Saccharomyces cerevisiae S288C: one gene and its partners. The gene in region 2 interacts genetically with the main gene of each other region. Each region holds a gene or a part of one and is shown on either strand. Other genes may lie near its edges.

What was found.
Region 1: of FLO11 (region 2) and DIA1, changing one suppresses a phenotype caused by changing the other (phenotypic suppression), as found in Saccharomyces cerevisiae (one study listed by BioGRID).
Region 3: of FLO11 (region 2) and SFG1, changing one enhances a phenotype caused by changing the other (phenotypic enhancement), as found in Saccharomyces cerevisiae (one study listed by BioGRID).

The regions. Positions count from the first base shown.
Region 1 is NC_001145.3:903,109-906,335, forward strand, and holds DIA1 (Dia1p), read left to right. Parts: upstream 1-1,716; coding exon 1,717-2,727; downstream 2,728-3,227. Other genes in the region: YMR315W (uncharacterized protein), read left to right, coding at 1-741; YMR315W-A (uncharacterized protein), read left to right, coding at 1,178-1,285; YMR316C-A (uncharacterized protein), read right to left, coding at 2,554-2,865. UniProt on the Saccharomyces cerevisiae protein: Involved in regulation of invasive growth.
Region 2 is NC_001141.2:389,009-395,240, forward strand, and holds FLO11 (Flo11p), read right to left. Parts: upstream 4,668-6,232; coding exon 564-4,667; downstream 1-563. Other genes in the region: YIR020C (uncharacterized protein), read right to left, coding at 5,247-5,549. UniProt on the Saccharomyces cerevisiae protein: Homophilic binding protein that enables kin discrimination in heterogeneous yeast populations by mediating homotypic cell-cell interactions during flocculation, a reversible and asexual process in which cells adhere to form aggregates (flocs).
Region 3 is NC_001147.6:903,136-906,300, reverse strand, and holds SFG1 (Sfg1p), read right to left. Parts: upstream 1,542-3,165; coding exon 501-1,541; downstream 1-500. Other genes in the region: metal cation transporter COT1, read left to right, coding at 1-65; YOR314W (uncharacterized protein), read right to left, coding at 2,929-3,165. UniProt on the Saccharomyces cerevisiae protein: Probable transcription factor required for superficial pseudohyphal development in response to nitrogen starvation.

The DNA.
Region 1 (3,227 bases), on a different chromosome or scaffold from region 2:
GCCAACTTAGACCAAGCAAAGGAGATTGTCAAGATAGCAGAATCCACCCCATTGCCCGTTGGTGTGGCTGAAAATTGGTTATATTTACCATGTATTAAAATCGCAAAGGAGCAGATCGAGAAAATTGGTCCTGTAGTAGCATTCACCCACAATTCTACCGGTCCATTTGTTACTCAAAATAAATATTTGACCACAACCTGGAGACAAAAACCAGAGCACATTGGCGGATTTCTATCTGATGGTGGTGTCCACCAATTAGCTCTCGTTATTTCCCTACTCGGTGAATTTGGATCTGTTTCTGCATTAACGAGACAGGTGCGTGAACGTTCCGGTGCAGATGATATTGTCTTTGCTACTGTCCAGTTGAAAAATAAAGAGGTTATCGGAAGTTTTACTTATGGGTCTGCCTTTGGTGCTACCGAAAAGTCGGTTTTCTTGAAAGTCTATGGTAAGAATGGTACCGTTACCGTTGACTTATCAGACAAAAAAGACCCCGTTGTAAAAGTCAAATTAGGGGGTTCAGCTGAAGATAACGGTGACGAACAAATTTTTAAAGTCGATAATGATGAAAGTTTCGGCGTCAACGCTGAATTTTTGAATTTTCACGAAGCTGTCAGCAAGAAGGACAAATCCTTATACCTAGGCACACCCAGAACTGCATTTCACCATTTGGCTTGTGTGGACGCGTTTTTAAAATCTTCTGCCAAGAATGGTGACTACGTTAAAATTGAGCAGCCATGATTACCGTTTTACGATGTAACGCTTTTTTAACCTTAATAGATAGATTCCCTCATATATTTATAACTATGTACCCACATAAGTATACTTTTGGAATGATAATACTAACGAGATAAAAAACCGTTGAAAAATTTCTAAGTTTTCTTGAACTAAAAATAGCCAAAATTCTCCATCCACTTGTTGTTGCAAAATGTTACGAAGGCGAGGTTCTTGGAAATCTGGATGATTATGGGAAAATTCGTTCAACAAGAACGCCGAGCCTGGACGAAATACTTAGTCGGCATGGAACTAGTTATGAATGACTTTTCCTATATAAGATCTACAACCGTTTCCAATTCACCATGAGATATATATATGTTTAACGAATCAGGTACTCGTCCGAAGCATTTCGAGTAATGCAACCCCACAAGTGTCCCCCAAGAATTCACTGGGATTTTTGATGACCGAAAGAAAGCTATTGCAGCTGCTACGGCGTCCTTTCATCTCCCTTTCTTTATTCACGGCCTTAAGAGCTTGTCCGCTTCGCCCCAAAAGCCTAATTGCTTAGAGCATGAGAGTTGAAAACGACCAGAAGTGTCGTTTTAGGTAAGCATTCGGCCATAATGAACAGTAAGTTTGTCCGAAAAATACACCGCTAGGGTTCGATAACGAAGAGCGCATATCAATTGCGTTGTCGACTTAATTGCTCTCTTAGTACAACGGTATGTGTCAGTGATAAAATCCTACCGGTTCCACTTTTTGTGAGCGATAGATGACGGAACGTATGCGCCTATTTCTTTTTTTTGGCGCAGCAAGGGACAATGGTCCCTTTTTGAGAAAATGTTGTAGGCTTGGCCATCGGCGTGAACGCATATAAAAAGAAGACTGCCAACATGACAGTATTTGAAACAACTACAGATTTGGCAAAGTTCGCCAAGATAAAGAAGACCGAAGCAGGTGCTAAGCTTCCATTAAAAGTTTTTCAAGAAAAATCTGATTATGGGTTCAATAAGTAGATACCTTCTTAAGAAAGCAGCAGATGGGCTTAAAGATGAGCAGAGATTGAAGATTGAAATGTCCGATAGCAAAAGTGTCCCAGAGTGCTTTCATTTTAATAGGGAAAGAAGAATGCCCATAGCCGAGATAAACGGCGAGGATGGGTTTTTCATGTTTCCGTCTCAGCAATCGCTTGAAAATTTTGAAAACACTAAAAAGTATTCGAATGAGCTGAGTCCAGATGCAATTGGTATTCCATTATTCCAAATTATCAATTGCACTCTACCGTTTGGTAAAAGAGGTCATAGCAATACTGTGGTCGGCAATGTCCCATATTATAAAATTTTCAAATTTATTTTAAGAACGGCAGACGAACCTCCGCCTTATACTGTGGCAAAAATCGTTTGCTCAAACAACGGATTAATATTGTATAAAGTGCCTCTTTACGACATATATAAAAATGTCAGCCAAGCAAACGTAACTTACAGCTTCGTAGGGACTACGTCTACGGAGCCCAACTTACTAGCAATGGCTCACCGAGAAGGACACAGGGATTTGGACACTAAAGTGAATAATTTAAATCTCAGGTGGCATGTCACTTATTCGCCCGTAGTTACCAACGATCATTATAAATTAATTCTGTTAGCAGATTATGAAGTGAATCGTTTGGATGAAGATGTCATTAGAGCCGCTAAAAATAAGATGTCCATCGACCAAAAGGATCAAAAAGTTCAGAGGTTCGTGGCAGCTCATTATACTAGAGAATTTGAAACATCTCTTTTTAGGTGGGTCGCTCAAGAGGGCCACTTAATTCTTGGCGAGTATTCCACAGATCAAGGATCATTTGGATTGAATAATATCCCACCATTGACGGAAGAACTCGGGTGTCAGAGCCTGCTCATACATTACATAGAGTACATGAAGAGACAACGTAAAAAAATTGCGAAAGAGGCAAGGAGACAAAATAAAAGAAACGTTGCAAACACGACTAACATGAACATGAACCTCATGTAACAAAAGTTTGCGTATAATAAACCAGTATAGATGTGTAACTGTAATTTTTAACTTATCACAAGCTCGTTCCCTTCCTGCGTTGAAAAAGCGGGACAATGCCAGAATATAAAAAAAAGAAGAAACTTTAAACCCTGTCATATCTTGTCCGAGATCTCGTCGTTCTTGTTTAATTGATCTTCTTCGTATACTGCCAAAGGTGCCAAGGCACAAAAAAGTTTAAAGTGGCACGGGCTATTGCGTCACATAAAGCCCGTAGCGCAAAAAAGTGATAGCTGACTTCATTAGATCACCAAAATGGAAAAAACTTCGTGAAGATTTCTTTTTATCTTCCTCACAGTTTTTAACTTCCGGGTGTTATACTCTCCGTTTGAAAAGTTGATTTTGTTAACTTTCCTCTTTCCTTTTGGAGTAAAAACAATATCCTCGATAGGCAAGACCTTCCTGCACCGCTATGGCGGCCATTTTGATTTTTCTTTACTGTGGGAAGCAAGAACTTGTTC
Region 2 (6,232 bases):
AAATATTCTTTGTTCAAAGAGCAAAGGTGCCTGTAAAGATCCTCTTATTCATCAAAGCCTGGTCGAAGATTATTAGTTGTGCCAAGGCAATATCAGGTTTATTAATCTTTTAGGAAAAATGTAAGGTTGTTACGTCTCTTTCCGTCTCGCGGAAAAACATTTTTACTCAAGCCGTCCGTGGGATGATTTTTGGTGGTTATCATTTTCCAAGACTCCAGACAAAAGAACGTGCAGGCGCTTGGCAAAAAGAAAAAAAAAAAAAGCGAGAGGGAAAAGTGGCGCGGTGCCAATACTACCGGTACTTGTTCTTGAATAAGCTATCAGATGGTCAAAATAGGGCTAGAAGAAAAATGGTAAAATAAAGTAAAAAAAGGTAAAAGATAATTTTTGAAGAACTAAAAAATATGTAAATGAATATGTATTCTACGGGTAGTTTTCTGCCTTACAAAATTATGGCAGCGAAAACAGAATGGTGGAAGAAAGTAAAGAGGGTATCGAAATAATATCTTAATTTAAGAATGAAAACATCGTAATGAAGAAACGAACATGTTGGAATTGTATCATTAGAATACAACTGGAAGAGCGAGTAGCAACCACATAAAGTTTCCAAGAACCTTGATATTAGCAGCACCTTGGTAAGTACTCGAGATAGAAGGAACAGAGTATGTAGCGACTGCAGAACCAGAAGCAGATTGTAGTGGACCAGTTAGAGATGGAGATGTGACAACGGGAGCCACGCTAGAAGCAGAAGCTGTTGTAGCTAGTTGGGATGTAGTCTTGATTGAAATAGGGTTGGTTGCTGTGGCCACAGTTTCGTAATTCTTGGCACCATTTGAACCTGGAATCAAAGTGGTTATGTAAGTGGTTGGGATGGACTTGGTTGTGTAACCAGTTGTTGTTTCGCCAGCGGAGTTAGTACCAACAGATGACTCAGTGGTAATAACTGTGGTTGGAATAGCCGTCGTGACAGGGGTGGTAGCCGAAGGTGCAGTGTTTTCGCCTGCGCTTGCAGAACTTACGATAGTCTTAGCAGAGCATACAGATGTAGTTTCACCGGCAGCGTTTGTAGCAGCAGAACATTCAGTAGTGGTTATTGTAGTTGGTACGGCATTAGTGGCAGGAGTTACTGGTGCACTTGGAGCCAAAGTGGTTACATAGGTGGTTGGTACAGACTTTGTTGTGTAACCAGTTGTCGTCTTACCAGCGGAGTTAGTACCCGTAGAGGATTCAGTGGTAACAACGGTGGTTGTGACAGCTGTTGTAACAAGGGTGGTAGCTTCAGTAGTGTATTCGCCAGTACCAGTTGAACAAGGAACAGTGGTTGTGACAGTCTTTGGAGAGCATCCAGAGGTAGTTTCACCGGCAGAGTTTGTACCTGTAGAGCAAACCGTAGTAGTAATAGTGGTTGGGGTGAAATTGGTAACCGTAGTGACTGATGGAGTTGGAGCAATTGTGGTTAGGTAAGTGGTTGGAATGTTTTTGGTGACAAATGTAGTTGTAATTTCACCACCTGGTTTTGTACTAGTAGAATACTCAGTAGTAACGACGGTGGTTGAGACAACTGTAGTTACAGGTGTGGTAGGTGAAGTGGTTGTTGATTCCGAGGCGGTTTCGCTTGGACTGGTTGAACATGGAACAGTAGTTGTAATGGTCTTTGGAGAGCATCCAGAGGTAGTTTCACCGGCAGAGTTTGTTCCTGTAGAGCAAACTGTAGTAGTAATAGTGGTTGTTGATGATGTAGTGACAGAAGTCGTAGTTGTAGTTGGAACAGTAGTTGTAACGGTCTTTGGAGAGCATCCAGAGGTAGTTTCACCGGCAGAGTTTGTTCCTGTAGAGCAAACCGTAGTGGTAATAGTGGTTGTTGATGGTGTAGTGACAGAAGTCGTAGTTTTAGTTGGAACAATGGTAGTTTCGGTTGTAGAAGAAACAGAGGTTTCTGTTTGACTGCCAGGGTATTTGGATGATGATGGAGTGACAGTAGTGCCAGTAGAAAAGCTTTCAGTAGTAGAGCTGAATGGAATTGAAGATGGAGCGGAGGAAGTGATGTTGCTAGAGGAAGATGGGGTTGGTACTGGTGCTACAGAGCTTTCAGTGGTGGAGCTGGATACTGGAGCAGAAGAGCTTTCAGTAGTAGAGCTTGATGGGGTTGGTACTGGAACAGAAGAGCTTTCAGTGCTAGAGCTGAATGGGGTTGAAGATGGAGCGGAGGAAGTGATGTTGCTAGAGGAAGATGGGGTTGGTACTGGTGCTACAGAGCTTTCAGTAGTAGAGCTTGATGGGGTTGGTACTGGAGCAGAAGAGCTTTCGGTAGTAGAGCTGGATGGAGTTGGCACTGGAGCAGAAGAGCTTTCAGTAGTAGAGCTGGATGGAGTTGGTACTGGAGCAGAAGAGCTTTCAGTGGTAGAGCTGGTTACTGGAGCAGAAGAGCTTTCAGTAGTAGAGCTGGATGGAGTTGGTACTGGAGCAGAAGAGCTTTCAGTAGTAGAGCTGGATGGAGTTGGTACTGGAGCAGAAGAGCTTTCAGTAGTAGAGCTGGATGGAGTTGGTACTGGAGCAGAAGAGCTTTCAGTGGTAGAGCTGGTTACTGGAGCAGAAGAGCTTTCAGTGGTAGAGCTGGTTACTGGAGCAGAAGAGCTTTCAGTAGTAGAGCTGGATGGAGTTGGTACTGGAGCAGAAGAGCTTTCAGTAGTAGAGCTGGATGGGGTTGGTACTGGAGCAGAAGAGCTTTCAGTAGTAGAGCTGGATGGAGTTGGTACTGGAGCAGAAGAGCTTTCAGTGGTAGAGCTGGTTACTGGAGCAGAAGAGCTTTCAGTAGTAGAGCTTGATGGGGTTGGAGCTGGAGCAGAAGAGCTTTCAGTAGTAGAGCTTGATGGAGTTGGTACTGGAGCAGAAGAGCTTTCAGTAGTAGAGCTTGATGGAGTTGGCACTGGAGCAGAAGAGCTTTCAGTGGTGGAGCTGGTTACTGGAGTAGAAGAGCTTTCAGTAGTAGAGCTGGATGGAGTTGGTACTGGAGCAGAAGAGCTTTCAGTGGTAGAGCTGGTTACTGGAGCAGAAGAGCTTTCAGTGGTGGAGCTTGATGGGGTTGGAGCTGGAGCAGAAGAGCTTTCAGTAGTAGAGCTGGATGGAGTTGGTACTGGAGCAGAAGAGCTTTCAGTGGTAGAGCTGGTTACTGGAGCAGAAGAGCTTTCAGTAGTAGAGCTGGATGGAGTTGGTACTGGAGCAGAAGAGCTTTCAGTGGTAGAGCTGGTTACTGGAGCAGAAGAGCTTTCAGTAGTAGAGCTGGATGGAGTTGGTACTGGAGCAGAAGAGCTTTCAGTGGTAGAGCTGGTTACTGGAGCAGAAGAGCTTTCAGTGGTAGAGCTGGTTACTGGAGCAGAAGAGCTTTCAGTGGTAGAGCTGGTTACTGGAGCAGAAGAGCTTTCAGTGGTAGAGCTGGTTACTGGAGCAGAAGAGCTTTCAGTAGTAGAGCTGGATGGAGTTGGTACTGGAGCAGAAGAGCTTTCAGTGGTAGAGCTGGTTACTGGAGCAGAAGAGCTTTCAGTGGTAGAGCTGGTTACTGGAGCAGAAGAGCTTTCAGTAGTAGAGCTTGATGGGGTTGGTACTGGAGCAGAAGAGCTTTCAGTGGTAGAGCTGGTTACTGGAGCAGAAGAGCTTTCAGTAGTAGAGCTGGATGGAGTTGGTACTGGAGCAGAAGAACTTTCAGTAGTAGAGCTTGATGGGGTTGGTACTGGAGTAGTAGTCTTCTTAGTGCATGTCTTAGATGTGGTAGTTTTCTTCTTTGTACATGGAGTGGTGTCGTGATGAGGAGGTGTAGGCTTTTCCTTTGTGCATGAGGTAGTGGTTGGGGGTGTAGGCTTTTCCTTAGTGCATGAGGTAGTGGTTGGTGTAGCAGGAGCGGTGGTTGATGATGATGTAGATGACTCGGAAGTGCTAGATGTAGTGGTAGATGACTCGGAAGTGCTAGATGTAGTGGTAGATGACTCGGAAGTGCTAGATGTAGTGGTAGATGACTCGGAAGTGCTAGATGTAGTGGTAGATGACTTCGTACCGCCACAATTATTGTCACAATCTATGTTCCAATAGAAGCCTGGGAAATCCGTTTGAGAGTGGCCTTGATTGTCATAGTTGTTACAACCAGTAGACAAATCAAAAGATGTAGTTCCCCATTGCCAGGAGCTTGCATATTGAGCGGCACTACCTTGCAAATACTCGAATTGAATTTGGAAGTTAGGCATCCACACCTGACAGCTGTTGACATCTTGTGTGGCATAAACTTCAAAAGTGGCTGTGAAATCAGTTGGGTTGTCAATCAAATAGGTATTTTCGTTGTAACCGTATAGTTGGACGGTACCTTTTGGACCAGTGACACCAATGATTTTCAAAGACCATAGATACTTCAGGTCAATATTTTCTTTACCTTTGACATGAATAGTGATTTGGTATGTGTTGTCTTGAACCCAAGAAACGGAAGTCACATCCAAAGTATACTGCATGATATTTTGCTGGTCCATGTGCCAATTGAAGTCTAAGTTGGGACAGCCATTAACGATAGAATTACAGCTAGTTCCTTCGGAGGATCCTCTTGGAACTAGTGCAGTTGGAAAACCCAAAGCCGAGTTAAATAGAAGCGAAAGGACCAAATAAGCGAGTAGAAATGGTCTTTGCATAGTGTGCGTATATGGATTTTTGAGGCCTACAAAAGTATATTTTAATTAGAACCACAACATGACGAGGGATAATAACTGATGAATAGGGTGCTTTTTATACGTTTATTTTAGGAAGCAAGAGATCCTTTTTATCAATTGGGAACCCTTCAACAATTTGTACTGGTAAGTCTATGAGTTATCCGTTCTTGAACTAGAAGAGAGCGCAGTAACGTAAATGCTTGAACATATTTGTTAAGGTAAATAAAACTGCCCTAATTTTTTATTTAATTCGAACACGGACATTCCTCAGATAAGACAAGTCTAACAGTTAATTCAAAGTAGAAAGAGCTTAATTTCTCCGTAAAAGAACGAAGTATATTGCGATGATGCCTTGAATCCCAATTGGTAACTCTATGACATTTTTGTAAAGGTTACCTCATCAGAAGAGAACGGACCTAAAAAGATGACCCACATTTCTCTAGAAACAATCGTACCCTAATAGTTGCTTTAAATTGCTCAGCGGTCAAGAAAACGTATCATAATGTTATTCTATTCTTGAGCAGGCACTTTTAGGGTTGGGCAATGTCCTCAAAGTAAATATTAGTAAACAAACGAATACCTCCAAATCCATTGAATTGAAAATCCATTCCAAGCTCTGCGCTTCCAATTGTTAATCACACCACCGATAGGCAATAGAAGTTCTGTCCGTGAAGATACCGCAGAATGAGTTGTGCCCGTATTGTTGCACCTAATTACGGAATCCCAAGGTATGCGATGTCCCAGTACGACCGTTAAAAAGACAACATGAATGACTGATCTGTTTAAGAGTATAGGCAGAAATAAAAAAGTTTGTGCAATGCCTGACAAAAAAAAGCTAATTTTTCTTTTAAGAAAGAATGTCATTCTTTTACCGCAAAGTTAATTTCTGCCTACAATCACCTTCTAAACGCTCGGACTGATTGCCTTGAGCAATCAGCAGTTCTTTGAAGCCACTGTCGCAACAAAGAAAAAGAAAAGGGAAGTCCATTCTTAGCCCCAAAGAAAAGGATGACAAAAAAAAGAAAAAAAGTTAACTCGTACCAGTAAAGCCTAATTTTGCAGTGATCGCTAGCCCCAGAGAAGGACTAAAGACAAAAAGGACCCACTCGATAGGAAAATAACGGCCGAAACTCTTTGGGCGACATTTTCTTGTTAAGAAAACAGAAGAAAAAAACCTTAATTTGAACTTTCCAGGCACACCCAAAAAGGATTATGCTTATGTAATGCCACATTCCGAGAAACTGAAAGGCAAAAAAGAAAAAGCCTTTTTTTTCCTGCCGCGAAAGTTTAATTTGCCTACCGGCGTTCCTATTGGAGTCAGGAAAAGATCACTAGGAATTACAGCTGTGAGAACATACTCTGGGGCTGGCGTAGGCACACAATCCGGTATTCCTAAAGTTTTGTGGTACAAAACTCCATACCTAAAACATAAAACAAATCTCACCCGTGGATCCTTTTATTCATAATACCCCGTCCTGCACGCCGTGGAACTGAGTCTAAGTTGACAAGGCTACGAATGAATTTTGGGAAATGCATACGAAGAGGAC
Region 3 (3,165 bases), on a different chromosome or scaffold from region 2:
GTTCCACTTGTCTTATCGACGACGCTGCCAACTGCAACACAGCTGATTGCTTAGAGGATCATTAAAAGGACTTTATAACGAAAAAGCGTGAAGAATTAAATACTTTTAAAAATCGTTATACGGTACATATACATACACACACACACATATATATAGTCGTCTATAATGTTTTTATACAATGTTTATCATAAATTTTGTTACAGTAAGAAGTATAGGAGATAATATAAAAAAAGAGGAAAAGCGAAAACAGGTGATAATAATGATGATCATAATAATAATATAATAGCAATAGTCTTGCAAAACAACAACTTGAGGAAGGAAAATAGTAATAATGGTGTTTAGCTTTTTTTAGATTACTCCAGCTTCTAAAAAAGAGTACAATACTTAGCACAATAATGCTGTTATCTTTTTTCATTTAATTAAAAAGACCAGTTGTTAAGAAATAATAAAAAAAAACTCCTTTGTTTAGAATTCAACAAATTAGAAGAAAAAGAACCTAGTTATTGTTCTAAAACCTTTGCCCACTGAACTTTTTTGTAGTCCTTCGTACTCTGTAGTTCATTACATTGCGTCAGCTCATCGCGCCTTCCTGACTGAAATTCGTAACCTCTTATTACTGCCGCGTCGGGAAGGTCGTCTTCATTGTCTTCTTCATTATCTTCATCTTCGCCAAAATTACTAGCTTGCCCATATATTTGGTCTTTAAGCTTCTTGTATTTCTCCTTAATTGAAGAGTTTACTGGAATTGTGAGCTTCTCCCAAATACTAGAAATTGCTGGTAATTTGTTTTCTTCATTGCTCAAAGTAGAATTTATTTCGGTGGCAAAGATGGTAGCGTCATTTAATGAGCCTCGCGACGAACTGACTATGAGATTCAGAGATTTGGCTGGTACTGTTAGAATTGATTTTTTGGGCTTCAATAGACGGTGAGAGGGTTCGTACCTTGTTGGCTTGAAGGTCGATCTGTTTACTGGAGATAACCTTTTTTTGAGTTTAGGCAATAAAAGTGGCACATCACTGTTGGATTCCAGTGGGCTCATCGGAAACGAAGAATGAATCATTCGGTGGAGCTCCAGTGCTTCTTTATTAACAAGCGGCTTACAGTTCCAGACAAAAGAATCAACGCCAAAAGGATCTAAAGAATCAATCTTTTCAACATCAGGCGATGTCGAGTTTATCGAAGATATATCACTCAATGGACTAACTAATTCATGTTCTGAAAAGCAGTCGTTATCAAAACTCAATCCAGGACTGACAATATTCCGGTAATCATTATATCCTTCGGTCATAAATGGATTGGTGATTTCACCTTGATTTTTTTTTATTGATACGCTAAGAGTTTGGGCTTTGACATTCTTTGAACTTGTCTTAAATTTGGCTTGGTATAAACGAAACCGTTTGGAGGGCGTAGTGTCTTCTGCTATAAAGCCTGATGAATATTTACATTTTTTACTTGGTGTACTGGGTATTACAAGCCCAATTTTTTTTTTTGATTTCGGTGTTCGCAACAAAAGTGTGTCTGAAGAATGCATTTCATCCATGTTTTTGAAATTTTTTTTTTCTTAATTTTATATTTCTCTTGTTTAACTAATCAAACATATTTACAGAACAACTTATCACCTAAACGCGCCTAAGTTCCAAATATAGCTGAAGTGTGGAAGGCACAAAGAAATGTTGCGTTTAAATAATACTTCGCTTGATTTTCCTCGTAGAGTGACAAAATTGATCCATTTTAAATTAACAAGAATGTTACCGCTTTAAAACTAAACTGTAAACAGTATCGAATGACATTTACGGTAACGGGCTTAAAATTCAAGATTTTCCTATCGAAATGGGCATGCATCTGTCGTTTACCTAAGCAAGGCTATGTATCGTTACACAACGTATTTAGTGTGTTGTGAGCTCTCTTGTTTACCAATTTGCACTAAGAGATATTCGCAGCTGAAAAAAAAAAGTTTAAACCCGATTAGAATAGCCATGGGATTTTCCATGCATTACTGCTGTCTATAACGGCGTGACCAGTTTAGCATAAATCCTTTGTCCGTAGTTTCTTTGAATCGTTCTGTCATACTGTTTTGTTTTTAAGACTGAGGCTGTCAAACTTTAATCTCAAAATCGGCCTGAAATCTTGAAAAAGCGGGATTGTTTTCTTTTTTTTTTTGCATATTCCCGTGGTTCGCATTTCCAAAAAGGGATTTGGTGCCTAGATATTTCCTTGTCTTCCCCTTTCGGATATTTACAAAACTCGAATATGTTATTTACTTTTATCCTAATTGGGCGATGTATGGATTGGACGAAAGTAGAAAGGTATAACTTGCCCAAAGGGTGGGCTAGCTGAGAGTTTTATGTGTCGAATTACGATCTCAAAAAACAGAGTAACGCAAAAAACCCCTACCCAAGAAAATGCTTCTGAATCTTAAAAGGACACGTCTTTTAAGAAGAGCTCGCAGTAGAGTAAGTTGTTATCTAAACTAATTACTGCCGTGGAATCGCCTTACTTTAAGGCCTGCGTAGTAACTCAATGCATTCTCTTGATGTTTATCCCCCAAGCTTGTTGCTATGCAACTATTTGTCCTTATAATATGTAGTATAGTAAAACTCTCGTAGTTACTTTCTTGGACATCACTGCTGTCCTGAGATAACATTATATGCTCTATTCCCATTGGTGGGACGATAACTGATTTTATTCATTCCAACCAAAAGATTGTACCGATATGCCATGACAACGAAATCTTGGAATACTTCGAAAAGAAAACACTTTTTTGTTGTCTTTCTGGGTGGGAACTAACGTTTCCATTATTTTTTTAACTGACATTGAAAAGGCAAAGCAACTGTCCTAGATTTTTTTGTTCTACTTAAAAGAGCCAAGGAGACCTAAAAAAGATAGTTATGAATATCCTCAGTATTGTTTACCCCTATACAAAAGTTCTAATCCAATAAATATGTAATGTTAAGTAAAAAGACGGAGAAGAAGCAGTAAAATAAGTCTCTTTCCTCTCCGAAGTAACGAAAAGAAAAGAGCAGAAAAGAAAAAACGCCGGTCTCGCTGCCTATGGTTCTATTTAAAATCATAGCATACAATAGACTTCGTAATGAAGATAACTGGACTTCTTTGCAACGGTGTTCGTCTATGCGGTCGTTAAGACACAAGGACTCAAGAGGGTT